Nothobranchius furzeri: one gene and its partners. The protein of the gene in region 2 purifies or fractionates together with the protein of the main gene of each other region. This does not show direct contact. Links are inferred from orthologs where the notes say so. Each region holds a gene or a part of one and is shown on either strand. Other genes may lie near its edges.

The links. Proteins that work in one complex are often made in the same cells at the same time.
Region 1: the proteins of faf2 (region 2) and setdb1b purify together in Homo sapiens (affinity purification with mass spectrometry; 3 studies listed by BioGRID and IntAct, counting the BioPlex papers as one, with this or other methods). This does not show direct contact. The link is inferred for Nothobranchius furzeri from reciprocal best matches to the Homo sapiens genes FAF2 and SETDB1.
Region 3: the proteins of faf2 (region 2) and ubac2 purify together in Homo sapiens (affinity purification with western blotting; 7 studies listed by BioGRID and IntAct, with this or other methods). This does not show direct contact. The link is inferred for Nothobranchius furzeri from reciprocal best matches to the Homo sapiens genes FAF2 and UBAC2.
Region 4: the proteins of faf2 (region 2) and ubl4a purify together in Homo sapiens (affinity purification with mass spectrometry; 3 studies listed by BioGRID and IntAct, with this or other methods). This does not show direct contact. The link is inferred for Nothobranchius furzeri from reciprocal best matches to the Homo sapiens genes FAF2 and UBL4A.

What each region holds. Positions count from the first base shown.
Region 1 is NC_091745.1:76,219,461-76,223,601, reverse strand, and holds the start of setdb1b (histone-lysine N-methyltransferase SETDB1-B), read right to left. Parts: upstream 2,801-4,141; 5' UTR 2,700-2,800; coding exon 2,680-2,699; intron 1,844-2,679; coding exon 1,640-1,843; intron 1,567-1,639; coding exon 1,403-1,566; intron 1,322-1,402; coding exon 1,284-1,321; intron 1-1,283. UniProt on the Homo sapiens protein: Histone methyltransferase that specifically trimethylates 'Lys-9' of histone H3. H3 'Lys-9' trimethylation represents a specific tag for epigenetic transcriptional repression by recruiting HP1 (CBX1, CBX3 and/or CBX5) proteins to methylated histones.
Region 2 is NC_091742.1:44,986,938-44,990,043, forward strand, and holds the end of faf2 (FAS-associated factor 2), read right to left. Parts: intron 2,944-3,106; coding exon 2,852-2,943; intron 1,678-2,851; coding exon 1,500-1,677; intron 1,410-1,499; coding exon 1,238-1,409; intron 1,156-1,237; coding exon 1,012-1,155; intron 906-1,011; coding exon 723-905; 3' UTR 501-722; downstream 1-500. UniProt on the Homo sapiens protein: Plays an important role in endoplasmic reticulum-associated degradation (ERAD) that mediates ubiquitin-dependent degradation of misfolded endoplasmic reticulum proteins.
Region 3 is NC_091752.1:31,488,582-31,492,574, forward strand, and holds the start of ubac2 (ubiquitin-associated domain-containing protein 2), read right to left. Parts: upstream 2,801-3,993; 5' UTR 2,663-2,800; coding exon 2,632-2,662; intron 2,357-2,631; coding exon 2,232-2,356; intron 2,112-2,231; coding exon 1,992-2,111; intron 1,805-1,991; coding exon 1,698-1,804; intron 1-1,697. UniProt on the Homo sapiens protein: Restricts trafficking of FAF2 from the endoplasmic reticulum to lipid droplets.
Region 4 is NC_091757.1:40,380,206-40,384,303, forward strand, and holds the start of ubl4a (ubiquitin-like protein 4A), read right to left. Parts: upstream 2,801-4,098; 5' UTR 2,611-2,800; coding exon 2,563-2,610; intron 1-2,562. UniProt on the Homo sapiens protein: As part of a cytosolic protein quality control complex, the BAG6/BAT3 complex, maintains misfolded and hydrophobic patches-containing proteins in a soluble state and participates in their proper delivery to the endoplasmic reticulum or alternatively can promote their sorting to the proteasome where they undergo degradation.

The DNA of each region.
Region 1 (4,141 bases), on a different chromosome or scaffold from region 2:
GTAACCTAAAAAAATAACTATGTTTTGGCTGAATTTAAAGAAATGATTTCCCATTTAATATTTTTCACCGAGGATTGTGGTTCACTTGTTGAATCAATACATTTGCAGTGGTCTCTAGTAGAAATTAATGCCTTTAAGTTGTACTCTGGAGAAAAAAAAGCTCTGATGCACCTGTTCCAGGAAGTACGAGTCATCTGGAGTTGCTTCAGACGACAGGATTGGAAGTCTTATTTCCTGATATTCAGACATCTCTCCTCTGATTGGATAACAGCAACACAGCTCTACCGCTGACTCTGCCCTGCATAGTTGATGTTTTATCTCCACAAATAACACAAGCCTGGAGGAGTCCTGCTGTGTGGTGGAGTATCTAACGCTAACAGTTAGCTTCTACTAGCCGAGACGTTCTCTGCTGTTACCTGGACGCTAAACCAACAACAGCCTTCCCCGTTGTGAGCCAAGATGGGTGAGTCCATGAATGTTCAGTGACAGTGTGACGTAGATCTGTCAGGATTTTCTATTTTCTATCAGAGACTAAAGCAGGAGATAAGTGTAGGAGACTGTTTTCATGTTCGGACGGCATGAAGAACTCTGAGTGACCCATTATAACCTAGAGGATAAAGTATACTTTATCCTTTACATTTGATGTCCCATGGGCTGTCGGAGCACCTGATGTCCTCTGGACGATGCCAGCGTGCTCTTCTATGACCCATTATAATCATTAACTCATTCACTGCCATTGAGGACTAAAGTCGTCATTTGCATTTTGTTACTGTGTGGGTGTCGGACGAGCCCCCGCACGGTGAGAACAAACAGCCGATCTTCATCCGCGTACGTCACAGGTCACGTGATCAGGAAGCAGAACGTCATGTGTTAGGAGATCGTTTTGGGCCGTTGCTGTAAAAAAAAGTGAGGCGCGAACCGGAAAAGCTTCTGCCGATCACACTTCAACAACGGATTATGAAAGAACGGATAACGCTCGAAACGCGCGGATTCTTCCTGATGTAAAAGGTGAGTCTCCATTTTGTTTTGGTTGTTTCGGCGTCGACATCATCCTAGCATGCAACGTTCTGTCACTCTTAAAAAAAAACAGTAAAAACGGTGAGAAACGCTGGCAGCGAATGAGTTAAACAATATTTCTCAGTTCTCCACACCTTTAAAGCTGCCTGTTATGTGTCAACAGCACTTTTTGTCCCTGATGCTCATTAACAAAAACAACACTGTAGTAATTACATAGTAATTAGATATGAATATATTTTCAGAAACACTGTTTTTGTTGCTCTCACCACTGAGTCTTTGCCTGGAGATTTCGTTGGAGGAACCACTGATGGTGCAGAACAGAAGAAAAAGAGATGAACAACAGTCTCAGTGTTTTCATATCTTTTTACAAAACAGCACAACTTACAACATCCAACTGCAATGACATCGTCATCGTCATCATCATCTATCTCAATGACTTCAGAGCACAGTCCATCTCCACCCCCTTCATCCTCAGAGCTGCTCTCTCGGTAGACAAGACCGTTCAGCTGATAAGCCTCCTTTACCAGTTTCTCACACCTCTTTAAAGATCTAAAAAAAGGAGACAAGAAGATGAGCTCGTTATAGATAAGCACTAATAAAACAGACAACCATTCCACCTCACTGGTTTGTGTCTTTGAGAAGCATCTCCGTCTTTGCCTCCTCTTCCTCTTTCTGTTCCACCCACTGCTTCAGTTCTTTCAACTGAGCTTTTTTCTTCTGCACCATCTCACTCTGTTCCACAGCTTCTTCAACCAGCTTCTTCAGATCATCCAAGGAAACACCCAAATCGTCCTCCAGACTCGAGTCCCAGCCGTCCACCTCCATTCTGAGGAGGGAATGCAGAGAAACACATTTAAACAGCGCTACATTTTTAAAAACAAACTCAACCGTCTGCTTTACAACCATCAGCTTAAACTCCCACAGATGGCCAGAATGAAGCATGATAACATTTATTTACAGCTTGGTAGTGATTAATTAAGTTTAACGAAAAGAGTTATATTCTTTATATATATATATATATATATATATATATATATATATATATATATATATATATTAGCATTTTTGTGATTTTGATCAAGTTTTAAACCTCACTCTGTGTGAAAGACATTAATAATACCTAATAGTCACACTCCCTAAATAACAACGCATTACTGTTATAGACGTGTCTAGCATACGGGTCATCATCCTTTATGGTAAAAACAGGATAAAATACACTCAAGTTAATCTGATTTTTTAAAGATGCAGTGAATCCATAAAAGAAATTCCAGATGCATACCAGTTTATCTGAATAATACACATGTATAAGATAGTAGATCACTAGGGACATCAGGAGTAAACACAACTTTCCCACTTAGTTGTTGCAAAAAAGATGAACTTATGAGCTGAACTTGAGTAAATAATAAAAATGTTGCTCATTTGTTGTCGGAGAGTGATGTAAAGCCCTAATGTCTTCGTTTTACACGTTAGATTTGTGCAGCAACAACAAACCCTTGTTGAGACGCATGCTAACCGGTTAGCTTAGCATGGGAAAAGAACAATTCTGATTTGAATGAGAGGTGCAGGCTGCTGAAACAAATATGTTCATTGCACAATAGAGAATTGCATCAAAAACATTCGTAACCTATGAAACATGTTCTAATTAACGGGAAAGCCACCCACCGCTCGCTGATCTCCATCATCTCGGACGCAGATGTAAAACTAGCTTATTCCGCTAATGCTAAAGGGTAAGCTACAAAAGATGTTTCGATTCCCGGGGTGTCCGAAAAGGGCGGTGTAGTAGATCGCAGCATTGGAAAAAAAGTCCCGCCCACGCAGGATGTTATTGTGACTTAATAATTGAACCGAGCCAAACAATGACGAGTTCGTTTGGTTTTCAGATTTTTTTTAATGTTTAGGAATGTGAATAGTTTTACGTGGGGCAGTTTAAAAGTTATACAAGTATAACATATTGCAAATTGTTTGATTTACTTTTTCATTTTACCGAATAAACAAGTTTATCAAATTAAATCAGCTATTGTGGTCAAACATTTACTCTTTTGTTCTGTAACTAATTGCATTTCTTTTTATTTTCTTTGAATATTTTATGCATTAATTGTGAAATCCTAATACAGTAGTTTTCATTCTGTTTGAAACAAAATATGGACCTTTTTTATAAATCAGTGTCTATCTACGTCTGTGTGAGTTAATTAGCTGTAGTTGGGTATTTATTTGAACTAATAACTAATAGTTTTATATCTGGCATGTTTTATTACAAACCACACATTTGTTCTGGTAAAATTTAGTACCTAAATATCTTAATTTTATATTATCTGGCCTTTTTAAGGTTCCATTTATTTAATTTAAAACAAGGGAGCTATGTTTATTTGCCAGCAGAGGGCGCAAAGTTCCCGTTCTTGCAAGGAACCAAAAAGAACTTCAGAGGAAGTGTTTCAATTAAGGAACTCTTTCAACTTTAGAAATCCAGTTCCTTATTCTCCTTCTACTCCTCGGTCTCTTCTTCAATACTACAATTTCCAAGAGAACAAAAAAAAGGATTAAGTTTTTTTAAGGCTCCATCAAACCAAGGAGGCTAAAATATTCTCTTCTAAAAGGCAAAGAACACAAGCGCAGTTACAGCTTTCATACACTGGAGGGCAGCAACTCCCCATCTTCACGTACATCCATTTTCTGAACCCGCTTGTCCGCGCGCGCGTGTGTGTGTGTGTGTGTGTGGGGGGGGGGGGGGTGCTGTCTCCAGCGGTCAATGGGCAATCGGGGGGTGCACCCTGGACAGAGAGCCAGTCCATCGCAGGGCAACCGAGGGCAACACAGAGACACACAGGACAAGCAATCTTGCACACACACGCGCACTCACCCTGTGCAGCCCCTCCCCATCTTTCCTTCTATTCTAAATGCTGTTGGACAAAAGTGTTCTATTTTTTGCCAGGAGAGGTCGCCAATTCCCAGTTCTTTCAAGGCAACAGAACACGGTTTTTGGAATCGTTGAAGTAAATATTTCTAAGGAACTTTTTTGACTTTATAAATTCAGTTCCTTCTACTCCGTCTACCCCCCCCCCCCCCTTTAATATTAATATTCCCAAGAGGAGAGAAAAAAGATTAAGATTTTTTAAATGCCCCGTTA
Region 2 (3,106 bases):
GGCAAAACAGGCATCTATGAGTAACCACAGGCACACTATGGGCAGACTAAACTACATAGAGCCACATGTAAAAGCTGTGGCCTTCGTTAAATATTGTACGTTTTAACTTCATGAGCTGGAGGCAGTCTGCTTTACATAGTAACAAACCTGCATTTGGTCGTTTCATGACGAGTCAAATAAAAACAATAGTGGGCATTTAAATATTTAACTTATGTACAAGTGATGGCTCATTTAAACAGGGTTCCCATCCTTTCAACTCTCGATCACAGCTGCTTCAGACTTGGACCGTGCTAGTTGTGCTTGATAATCGCTGTAGGGGTTGTGGGCTAAAGCATGAACCAAGAGAAACAGCAGGGAACTCCCCTCGAGTAACTAACAACCAGTCTTCCTCGGTTGTGACAGCTTGTGTGGGACGAGGAGGTTGTGCTGCAGCTTTAGTCTCACTGCTGGGAGGAGGATAACTGTTAGCTAACACCAACAACAGTTTCTCCACACAAGGAACCACTTCAAGAAATATTTATTTGATAAAATTCAAGACTGCAGGCTAATGGGAACCCTGTCAACACAAGTGAAGGAGCACTGGATGCAGGGTGGTTTAGTGATCCAGGTTAGTTTCTATAGCAACCATCCCTTCTGTAAAACGGCCATTTACCAAAACAAACCAAACAACATGGGTGGGTCAGAGATAAACGTGTCTCCATGTAGACGAGGTAAGTCATCTATTAGTCGTCCGTGAGGTCCTGAACAAAAACGACCTCGGAGCGACTGAGTCCTGCCTCCTTCAGCGTGGGGGGGTTGGGCTGCTCTGCAGTCGGAAGGCAGGGCAAGACTCGGCGAGGGAAGTTTGTCACGATCTGAAACTTCTCTGGAGTTTCCTTCAAAGAGAAAAGGAAGTCGTAGATTACCTGTGGAAGGAAGAAGAAACATGTAGATGTTTCATCACATGTCAGCGTCTAATAACCAAACATTGACCAGAGGCGTGTGAAGGAGACCAAAGACACCAGCGCTCACCGTCAGAGACTGAGCGAACAGGAACCGCCTCTCTACTCGTGTGTCGTTGGGCAACTTGAACACTATTTTAACACTTTCTGGATCATCAGCAGATGGTTCTGGAGGAAGGCACTCCGACTTCCTCTCCTTCTCCTCTTCTAGTGTCTGGAGTGAAAACAACAACAGGAATCAGACATGTAGGGGAAGACCAACGTATCCATGTACAAACGAAGACGACCAGACTCACTCTTCGTCTCCTCTCCTCTGCAAGAGCACTCTGTCGGACCTTTTCCTCCTCTTGCTTCTTCTGCTCCAGCTCCTCCCTTTTCTTCCTCTCCTTCTCCTGGTCGGCGCGTAAGGAGGCCAGGTAGGCCTCATCCTGCTGCTGCCTCAGCACCTGGGTCTGGTTCCTCTCCTCTCTGGAAACAACACTTCAGTCTTCACTCGCTGCTACTTCAGCTGTAGAGAATGTGACGACGGTCTCACTAACTCCAGCTGGTCTGACGTACCGCTCAAGGCGCTCTGACATCAGGTATGTCTGGTTGGCATCCATGATGAAGGTGACCTGATTGATGAGCTCCTCAGGCTGAATCAGACCCTCGAGCCGACCCACCACGGTCATCTTCCGGTCCTTTAGCATGATCATGGCCAGGAATGGGTAGGTGTTCTCCCGCAACGCTTGGGACACTTGGTATAGAAACCATTGTTACACAAAAGCCCAGTGGACTACCATTATTACCACGCTTCTGCACGGATCTTAATGTTTTTGTAGCCACTCAAGCTAACAGAAGAGTCCCTGTAGGACAGAAAAGCAGCACTAGCTTCTAGCTTTGGGGACTCCACATGGGTCTGAACTAGGGCTGGGCGGCATGGCCTACAACTAATATCACGACATATAGAGGATTTCACCTCGCTAGCGATGAACAGACTAGAACTACAGGTGTGTGCAGGAACAACAGTTGTCCACTAGATGTCACGTGTTCCAGGTTGAGTCACACTGGTATGCCACTGAAGGTGGTGCAGCTTCTTACAGGACATGAATGTTGCCAGCTCACACACATATTTCATGTTCTCATCTCATTCCTGAGACGGGAACAATTATCTCGGTAAGAGTGGATTTATTGCCCAGCCCTGGTCTCAACATGTTGTTTACCAGTGATATCAGAGTGTTTGTTGTTTTCAGAGCAGCCAGACTTACCCCAGGTTTCCACGGGAGCCGTCAGCAGCACGTTACTGCAGCAGCACGTCTAGCTGCTGCTTGGCCCTTCCCACGAGACGCGACGCAGCAGAGGAGCAGCTGTCACCGACAGGGCACGAAGTCACACGAGTGACTTCGTCAGTAAACACAACAACAAGCAGGAGAAAACTACAACATGGCTCCAAAATGTTTGTGTTTTTATATTCTGTCCGTTTTATAATCGCCGATACGGACCTGAAAAACAAAGGAGACCGCTAGCTAGGTGATAACTTCTCACGGGGCCGCACAGTTAGTAACCTTTTTTAAAGTAAAGCGACCGGAAGGCAGTACGTTCTTTATTCTGAAAATTTCGGGAGCTTCTCTCCATTTCCGCGTCCGATTTCCTGTCTTTCCTTCCCCAAAAATGTCGAACTTGACCCGTTTCAGAGGCGTCGCGCGTAGGAAATAGAACCGGCGCGTAAAGGCCGCGACATGCTGCTCCTGAGACGCGGCCGACTCGTGCTGCTGACAGCTGCTGACGGCTCCTGTGGAAAAGGTTCTGTTGACCACAGCCGTTCCTATCAGCAGCTATGACGTGCTGCTGCAGTAACGTGCTGCTGACGGCTGCTGTGGAAAGCCGGGGTCACACTGATAACAGATGAACGAATGAACGGGCATACACACCTCGGTAGCCCTCGGGCTTGCTGGTGGAACATGCCCAGAAGAGCATCCGTGTGTTGAGGAAGGTTATGACCTCTTCTGTACATAACGTGGAGCTGAGGAGCCACAGATCAGAGGAAAGGATGAATATGTTCACCTCATCTAACAGTTAAGGTGTGGTTCACTCATTAATCAGTGCATCTGCAGAGGTCTCTAGCAGGAATGAAGGCCTCGTACGTCACACTCTGTTTCAGAATCTAGAGAATGACCAGATCAGAG
Region 3 (3,993 bases), on a different chromosome or scaffold from region 2:
TGTACAATTCTGGACAAACCTCGTCCAACCATTGTGAACGTCCCCTTCTTAATGACTGGATCACAACTCTTCCATCTTACTGCCCTCAGCCCCTCCCCCATCTACACCTACAGTACTCTTCTTTGTGCACGAAGCGCAGGTTCTGTTTGTGTTGGTAAACAATTAGTTGATGGACCTGTTGTCTGTGAATGCAGCCTGGATTTTGTCGGCTGGAAGAGCTGGAAGTGTGTTCGGAGACCTGTGTAATAAGCATGGAGCGTGAGTTAAGAATGAAGAAATAAAGCACTTAAAATAGGGGTGCTCCGATTGATCGGCCACAGATAATTATCGGCCGATTTTCCTGCAAAAGTGTGTGATCGCCGATCACTGCCTTTCATTTCCGATCTGGCACTGGCGCTTACTCTTCCCAGCCGGTAGTTCACCCTTCCGCTTCTCCCCGCTTAGTGCACATGCGCGTGGTGGCAAACCCGCAAAGACAAACATGTCTGCCGTGTGGAACTTCTTTACGGTTTGCGAGAGTGATATTAAGTTTGCGTCTTGCAACACTTGCAACGAAAACATACCCCACGGAGGAAGCGCTTCAAAAAAATTCAACACAACGAATTTGATCCGACATTTAAAGACTAAACACTTGGCGGAGCATGGTGAGTTTTTGAGGCTCACTGCAGACAATGACAAGAAGCCTGCTAAAGCGGCCACAGTCAGACGGCAGCTAACGCAGCCGACGCTTGGAAACACTCGCCCATATGAGCGTGGCAGTCAAAAGGCCAAGCAAATTACCCGTAAAATCATTGAGTTTATTGGACTAGACGACCAGCCTTTTTCAGTTGTGGAAGACGCCGGATTCCGCCGACTACTAACCCACTTGGAACCTCGCTACATGCTACCAGGACGTAAATATTTCGCCGACATAGCCCTTCCAGAGCTCCCCAGACAGTGCATTCTTTCATCGAGGGACTCCTTAAAGAAAGCGTCTCATCCTCTGTGAGTTTCACAAGTGACATTTGGAGCTCAGATGTCAGTCCTGTGTCAATGCTGAGCTTAACAGCTCACTGGATGTATCTGAATGTATCCTTGGTTACTTAATTTGATTTAGGCGGTGATGTGAGATATTGACTTTTTTTGCACTATTGTAGCCTAAAGAGAGCCTGCATGTTTTCAATTTCTTATAAATTCTTACTGATATTACATAATTTGAAGTGAAGTAAAACCATGTTTTTTCTGAATTAATATGTAACACATGCATTAGAACTCACCATAGCTAAATGAACAATTTACAGCCAATCTATGTAATTGGTATCGGTAATCGGCTGATCGGCCTCTTGGTTGATCGGTATCGGTGACCGGCAGATTAAAACCTGATCGGAGCATCCCTAACTTAAAATGTTGTCTTGTTCACCATAAACACCACAGCTGAGCAAGACCAGTGAGGGTTCATTAAGGATTCAGTGTTGACTAGCGATGGTAGAATCGAGATCGAACAACGGGCCATCCCACGTTATTTTCATAGTTTAACAAATTAATGTTTTTAGGTAGTAAATTAATTTTTGCTCAAAGAAGTACTTCACTGTGAAAGAACCACGTAGTCGCATGGAGGGGAGAGGGTAAAAAGATAAAAGATTGCTTTACATCATAATAAAAAAGAAAATGTATTGATGTTGGAAATGTATTTGCAGAGATGCATTATATCAACCTACAGTCCAGCAGAAACTTCTTCCACTTCATAGTCAAACAGATACAGGACAGCCTGGGCCAACAGCAGGTCCACCAATGCAGAGAGACACCAAGTGCCCAGCAGGAAGGACTGAAGGTAAGAACATTATACAGGATTTGTTTTACTACACCTGAGCAAAACAGGCTGTGTTTATTTTCAAATACAACCACAAAGGCTATCAGATGAAGAAGCTCTGTGTTCTCTTTCTTAAAAGAACACTTTAAATGACATCCTAGGAAATGCAACACTAGTTCTCAGGTCCAGTTTTTAAACTTACAGCGAACTTCCTGGTTCCGAACCTCCTCTCAAAGATTCGAAAGTTATAAATTAGGAGGCTGCTGCAGAAGGAATCCTTCACATCGAGACAGACGAACCTGCCACAAATCAGCCTCCACACCTGCAGCACACAAACAAAACAAACACACACACACAAGCACTACAACACTTCCTCTGGGTGTTTGGCTCACAGCTCCTGAGCGTTGACTGTATAAATAGGATCATTTTAAACGAGACAAACCTGGTGCTGATGTGTGATGGCCTGTAAGTTGTAAATAAACATATCTTGGTACTGTGGCAGCAGGGTCAGCATCACCGTCAGCCCATTGAGAACCAGCAGAAGGCCTTTAGACAGAGGAGCCTTGTCTGTTCGAAAAGTACATACAAACGTCACAGAGTTTAAAGATAGAATATATCTAATTTAAGTGAAAAAATAGCTCGTTAGTTAGGATAACTGAATAATTACAGTTTAAACTGTTAACGGTAATTATTGGATAACAACAAAGAGTTGTTTATATAACTGACAGGCACAGCCCTGAGTAAATGAATGGCAACGAGATTCTAACGCTCGTTAGCTAAGCTAGCGTAGAAAGTGTCCGACGAAAAGGTGAGCAGAACGATTCTTCCACCAGGAAACTTACAGAGGCCCCGGGAACCGGTGGTGGTGAACATGGTCTCCGGGTGAGCAGAATAACTCAAAAGAAGGGTGGTGTGGCCAAGACTAAACGCATTAATCACTCAAACACCGAGGTGAAGTTGTTAACAGGATCCATGTTGTCACGACGAGACACAACGACGGAGGCCCGAGAAGGACAAATATTCTTTTGTTCGAAGTTTAAGTGTGGCACATGTATTTTGACGCTAGAGGGCACTGTTGCGTATTGTTGATTACCAATCCTTCAAAAGGTTTTCGACAGCAGATCGGGGGATCCTGCCAAAACGGCATAAATAAGCACATTTATTATCATATTTTCAATATTGTTTATTTATTTATATTAATCTCTCCACAGCCTCTCTTTTCTGGATAGAGACAATAGACACAGACCGAAACATACTAACACTTAATAATTTTGAGAAAATGTTCTACTAAGTAACTATTGTAACTTCTATTGTTACTATTGTTACCTCTCCTCCTATTAATTCCATCAAAAGGACAAAAACAACTATTGGGATTTTTTTTGGCTTCATCTAGATAAGGAAGCTGAAATGTTCTCTGATAGATGATTTGTGTAGATTCTATCTCAAATTTGGAAACAACTTGATTTAACAGAAGCAAAGTGTAGTTCCATATCATCACCACTGGGGGCACTAATGTCTCCATCTCTCCTTGTCTTTTGTATTCTCTACACAATTTTAAGTGTTTAAAGCTAAATAATAAGATAAAACTTCTGTTAAAGCGACTTGTCTTGTTACTAACACCAAAAATATAGTTTAAAGGATTTACAATAATTATGTATACTAAGTATGTTTATGTTTATGTCTATTTATTTTGCAGACACTTTTATCTTTTAAAAAATAATCCATGCCTTTGTGTCATCACGCTTAGACTATTGTAACGCTCTTTTTACTGGTCTCAGCAAAACCTCCCTCTCACGCCTTCAAGCCATCCAAAATGCAGCAGCCAGACTCCTAACCAAATCCAGCAGACGAGCTCACATCACTCCAGTTTTACAGTCCCTCCACTGGCTCCCGGTAGAATATAGAATTCAGTTTAAAGTTTTAGTCCTGACCTATAGAGCTCTTAACAACCAGGTTCCAAGCTACCTATCTGAGCTTTTATCCCCACACATCACCTCTCGGAACCTTAGATCCACATCTGAAAACCTCCTGGCTGTTCCTCGAACCAGACTAAAAACCAAAGGGGACAGGGCCTTTCAGACTATTGCACTCAGACTTTGGAACAGTCTACCTTCAAATCTCCCTCTCTCTAACACTGTAGAGGTCTTTAAAAATCATCTAAAAACTCACCTTTTCATCCAGGCGTTCCCTCCCTAAATGTTTCA
Region 4 (4,098 bases), on a different chromosome or scaffold from region 2:
TCATGAATTCCAAAGTTTGCGTGGAAAATTGCTTGCGCAGTTTTCCAACCCCGTTGTGCGTGGCCCCTGGACTTTAAATATTCTGACTAAAACTGTCAGTGTTGTGCCGTCGTCCGGTAAAACCTCTTCACTACATTTAAATTTAAACCTGCCACTGCTATTGGCTAAGAGGTATGCAATGACGTTAGCTAGTACATTTTGATGTCACAATGCTTTTGTGAGCCTGTTTGTGTTTATTTGTTAGCGGCTCCGCTCTCTCGGTCTGCCAGGCAACAGCATTTGTTGCATTTTTCAAAGATGAAGTGGGAGTAACGTGAATTTCTTGTAGGGGGTGACTAACTCTTTAAAAAGCAAGTTGCAGGTAACATATTTTTTTCTAATTCATATAAAATGCTGTCCAAACATACTCTTTGAAATGCTTATTGTGGATATTTGGTTTAAAAACAGCAGTTTTCTAGTAAAAAGTGGCCTCTCTCAGCAAAGCTTCTAAAAAGGCTCTTTTTTTCTAAATCTGAACCTCTGATGTAACCAAAGGGAGTTAGAAGCTAGGCGCTGCCTCAGCTCTGTGTGGAGAGTGGGTAGTTTTAGGGTAGAGCGGTCATGTTATCCAGTCAGCGTGTGTGTTTACTAGTTTTGGATTGTGTTCATGTTGATAAACTATAGTTTGTGAAGGCTGTACCAACTCCAGCCTTTCTGGACATCGAGTCCACGGGTTTCCAGATAAGAGAAACTACGCCTCTATCTCACATGCCTGAGGGCGTTTTGTGCAGCTGAAAAGACGGGACTTCTGTAGCCCAAATCGGTTGGTACAGAGACAGGGAGGTCTGCGCTGGGCTCTGGAGACCCGTGGCAGGGTTTAAAAAAGTACATTCAGATTTCTGGAACTCAGATCACCGTCAGAACCAGGTCAGAACCGACCACCAGAAGAGACAGGCGGCTCAGCGGGCCAGCTGTTTTTTTTTTTGGTCCATCATAAGTATAATTACAAACATTTAAAGTTTCCTCTGTGTCAGAGCCGACATTAGGATCTACATTTTTCTCTAGATTAAGCTAACAGGACCCCGTCGGCTGACTTGGTTTGGCAAAGAAATAAAAAAAAAACTCTCTCACAAAAATGACTCTAAAAGCCTAAATAATTTATGAATGTGTAAAAAAAAGTTTAAAACGAGTTGCTATTATGTTTCTCTAAACATTGGTTTATTTGAGTCTCTAACCTGCAATTTGCTCTTTAAGCAAAAGCATTATTTATTTGTGGTGTTTTAATCCAGCTAAATATACAAACTTATACTCATTACTGCACCACAGTTGTGTTTTTTGTACAGGATTAAATAATGTAGAATAATTACTAGCCTGTTATAATTTTTGCTGCATTTTCACACCAGAAAATGGTTAAAAGCAGAGACAGAAGACTGGTTCTTTGTGTGAGTTTGGATATAAGGACAGGAAGCACTGAGAGGAAGTAAAAGAAGCACAAGCAACTGAGACGAAAGTGACGCAGTAACAAAGTTTAGGCAATTAACTTTGCATCAACTTCATGTATCATTTTTTAAATAAACTCACTGTTGGTAATGACATTTTCTGTTTATTTAGGAAACAGAGAAGGGTATTATAGACAGGTTTCTCGAGTCGCTAGCAAACATTAATGAGACTGGATTCAGCCAGAGGGAAGAATAATGAGATTCTTTAAGCTGCCGACTCAAAAATGAAACGAATTTCAATGAATATGTTATTCTGAAGGGCAAAGTTTAAATCAGGCTTGTGAGAAATGTAAATGACAACTTTTGAATTTGCTCACCGTGATTTCGTTGTCCTAATTTACATAAATTAGAAAATGTCTCGGCTGTGGTGCGCTGTTGGCTCAAACCCCAGACCTACTTAAATCTGTAAAATCATTATAAACAAGAAATTAAAAGCGTATCAATTATTTCTGTGTGTAGTAACACGGGATTGAGTTACGCAAGATCAGACTCTTCACATCTTAAAGACAAAGGTAGACGCCACAATGATTTGGGAATTTAGTTTACCTCAGCTATTAAAATACAACCTTTTGATTGTCACGCGACGGTGCTTTAAAAGATCGAAGTGTTTACAAATGAGTAAACACATCTAATTTCCAAATGTTGAAATTGAATGGAATCTGCACGTTTACGAATTAAAAACGGAATGCTTTGGTTTAAAAACTAAAGTTCTGGGTGATTTCCCTGTTACGATCACCATAGCAACCATACTCCAAGCTAACATTTGTCCAAGTCATACAGTCACGCACAACCTTCCACTTTAATAAATACAACCAATAAAGCATAAAAACGTGCATTTTTAAGGCCTCCTGTGACATTAGTGTTAACTAGCAGGACAGCTTCGGTAGAGATAACGTTTAAACTCGTCTCAGATGTTTATGTTTAACCGGTTTAACCCCACATAACCTACATAGAATGGTGTGTTTTGTCTAATTTCCTGACTAAAGAAGCATATATGTTCTCCCTTTACTTGCAAACTAATATGATAAATAACCATCGGTGTGCTGGCTACACCGGCAGTTAGCATCATGATGCGTTAACTCACCTGAATGTTACATTCCAGTCCTGAAAGCGGCTTCACCGTGATAATCATTATGAGAGCCGCAAAAATATCAAACCAAACACACGCGAAGAGGTTCAAACTTTAAATGATTTAAAATGTACCCAAATAACGTTACTTTAGTGGTTGGTAACGAGCAAACAGATTGTTCTCTTCTCAGTGGAACGTCTTCTTCTTTTTTCTTCTTCTGCGACTCTCCTCTGTTTCTTCTGCAGCTACTGCTTGCTCTCAACTGACAACAGCGCCACCGTCTGGCAGGAATATCTCAGCCCTTCAAACAAAACTGGAAAACAACAGAAATCTGCATTTCAAACGTAGAAAATTATGTTTAAAAAATCACAATTGATTCAAACACACTTGTGAAAATCAGCATATTTCACCTGCAGTAGTCGTCTAACATCAAGCCTATTCTGTCCGCCCGAGAAAATAAAACAGGCTTTTAATTTCACAGCCGAAATACCCCCAAATACCCCGATTAGACTTTTGTGAAACAGCTTCAAGTTTGCTTGTTTTAAATATATCGCCTTTGTTCTTATTTTTATTATGTTTCCTCACGAACTCACACTTCCATATTCGAGCAAAAATGAATTTGACACAAAACAACGCTGAGTAGCAATTACATTGAATTGCAATGTGTTGCCAAATAAAACATATAAAATAAATCACAGATTAACGTAAAACGGACCTATTGAAATGGAGCACAAACGCCTCATTGGACAGAAGAAGGAGCTATCAGAGTGCACACAGATAACCTTTGATTTGTTTTAGCTGGGGGGAAAGGCTATTCTCAGTTTGACGCTCCCCATTGGTTCCGATGGACTCCGAGGACCGTCTGACCCAATTCGGATCCAGTCCACGCATTTGTCATTACCTCTCCCCTCCCGTATGGATGGTCTCCGAGATGTTGGTCACGTGACTGCCTGTCTACGCTGCCTGCTCAGTCCCGGCCAGCAGGAGAAGCATCTTTCACTCGGGCACTTGCAGGAGAGATGTACACACCTGTCGGATGGACGGAGTCAAATAAGCACGCACTCACGGGAGTGAGGAAGAGGTACTGATCGATACCCAGACTGCACGTGGTAAGTGATGAGTGTCTGAAACACTATTATAGTCTTACTGGAGCATGCAAAACACATTTCATTTGTTATCTATCTATCTATCTATCTATCTATCTATCTATCTATCTATCTATCTATCTATCTATCTATCTATCTATCTATCATCTATCTATCTATCTATCTATCTATCTATCTATCTATCTATCTATCTATCTATCTATCTATCTATCTATCTATCTATCTATCTATCTATCTATCTATCTATCTATATATCATCTATCTATCTATCTATCTATCTATCTATCTATCTATCTATCTATCTATCTATCTATATATCATCTATCTATCTATCTATCTATCTATCTATCTATCTATCTATCTATCTATCTATCTATCTATCTATCTATCTATCTATCTATCTATCTATCTATCTATCTATCTATCTATCTATCTATCTATCTAT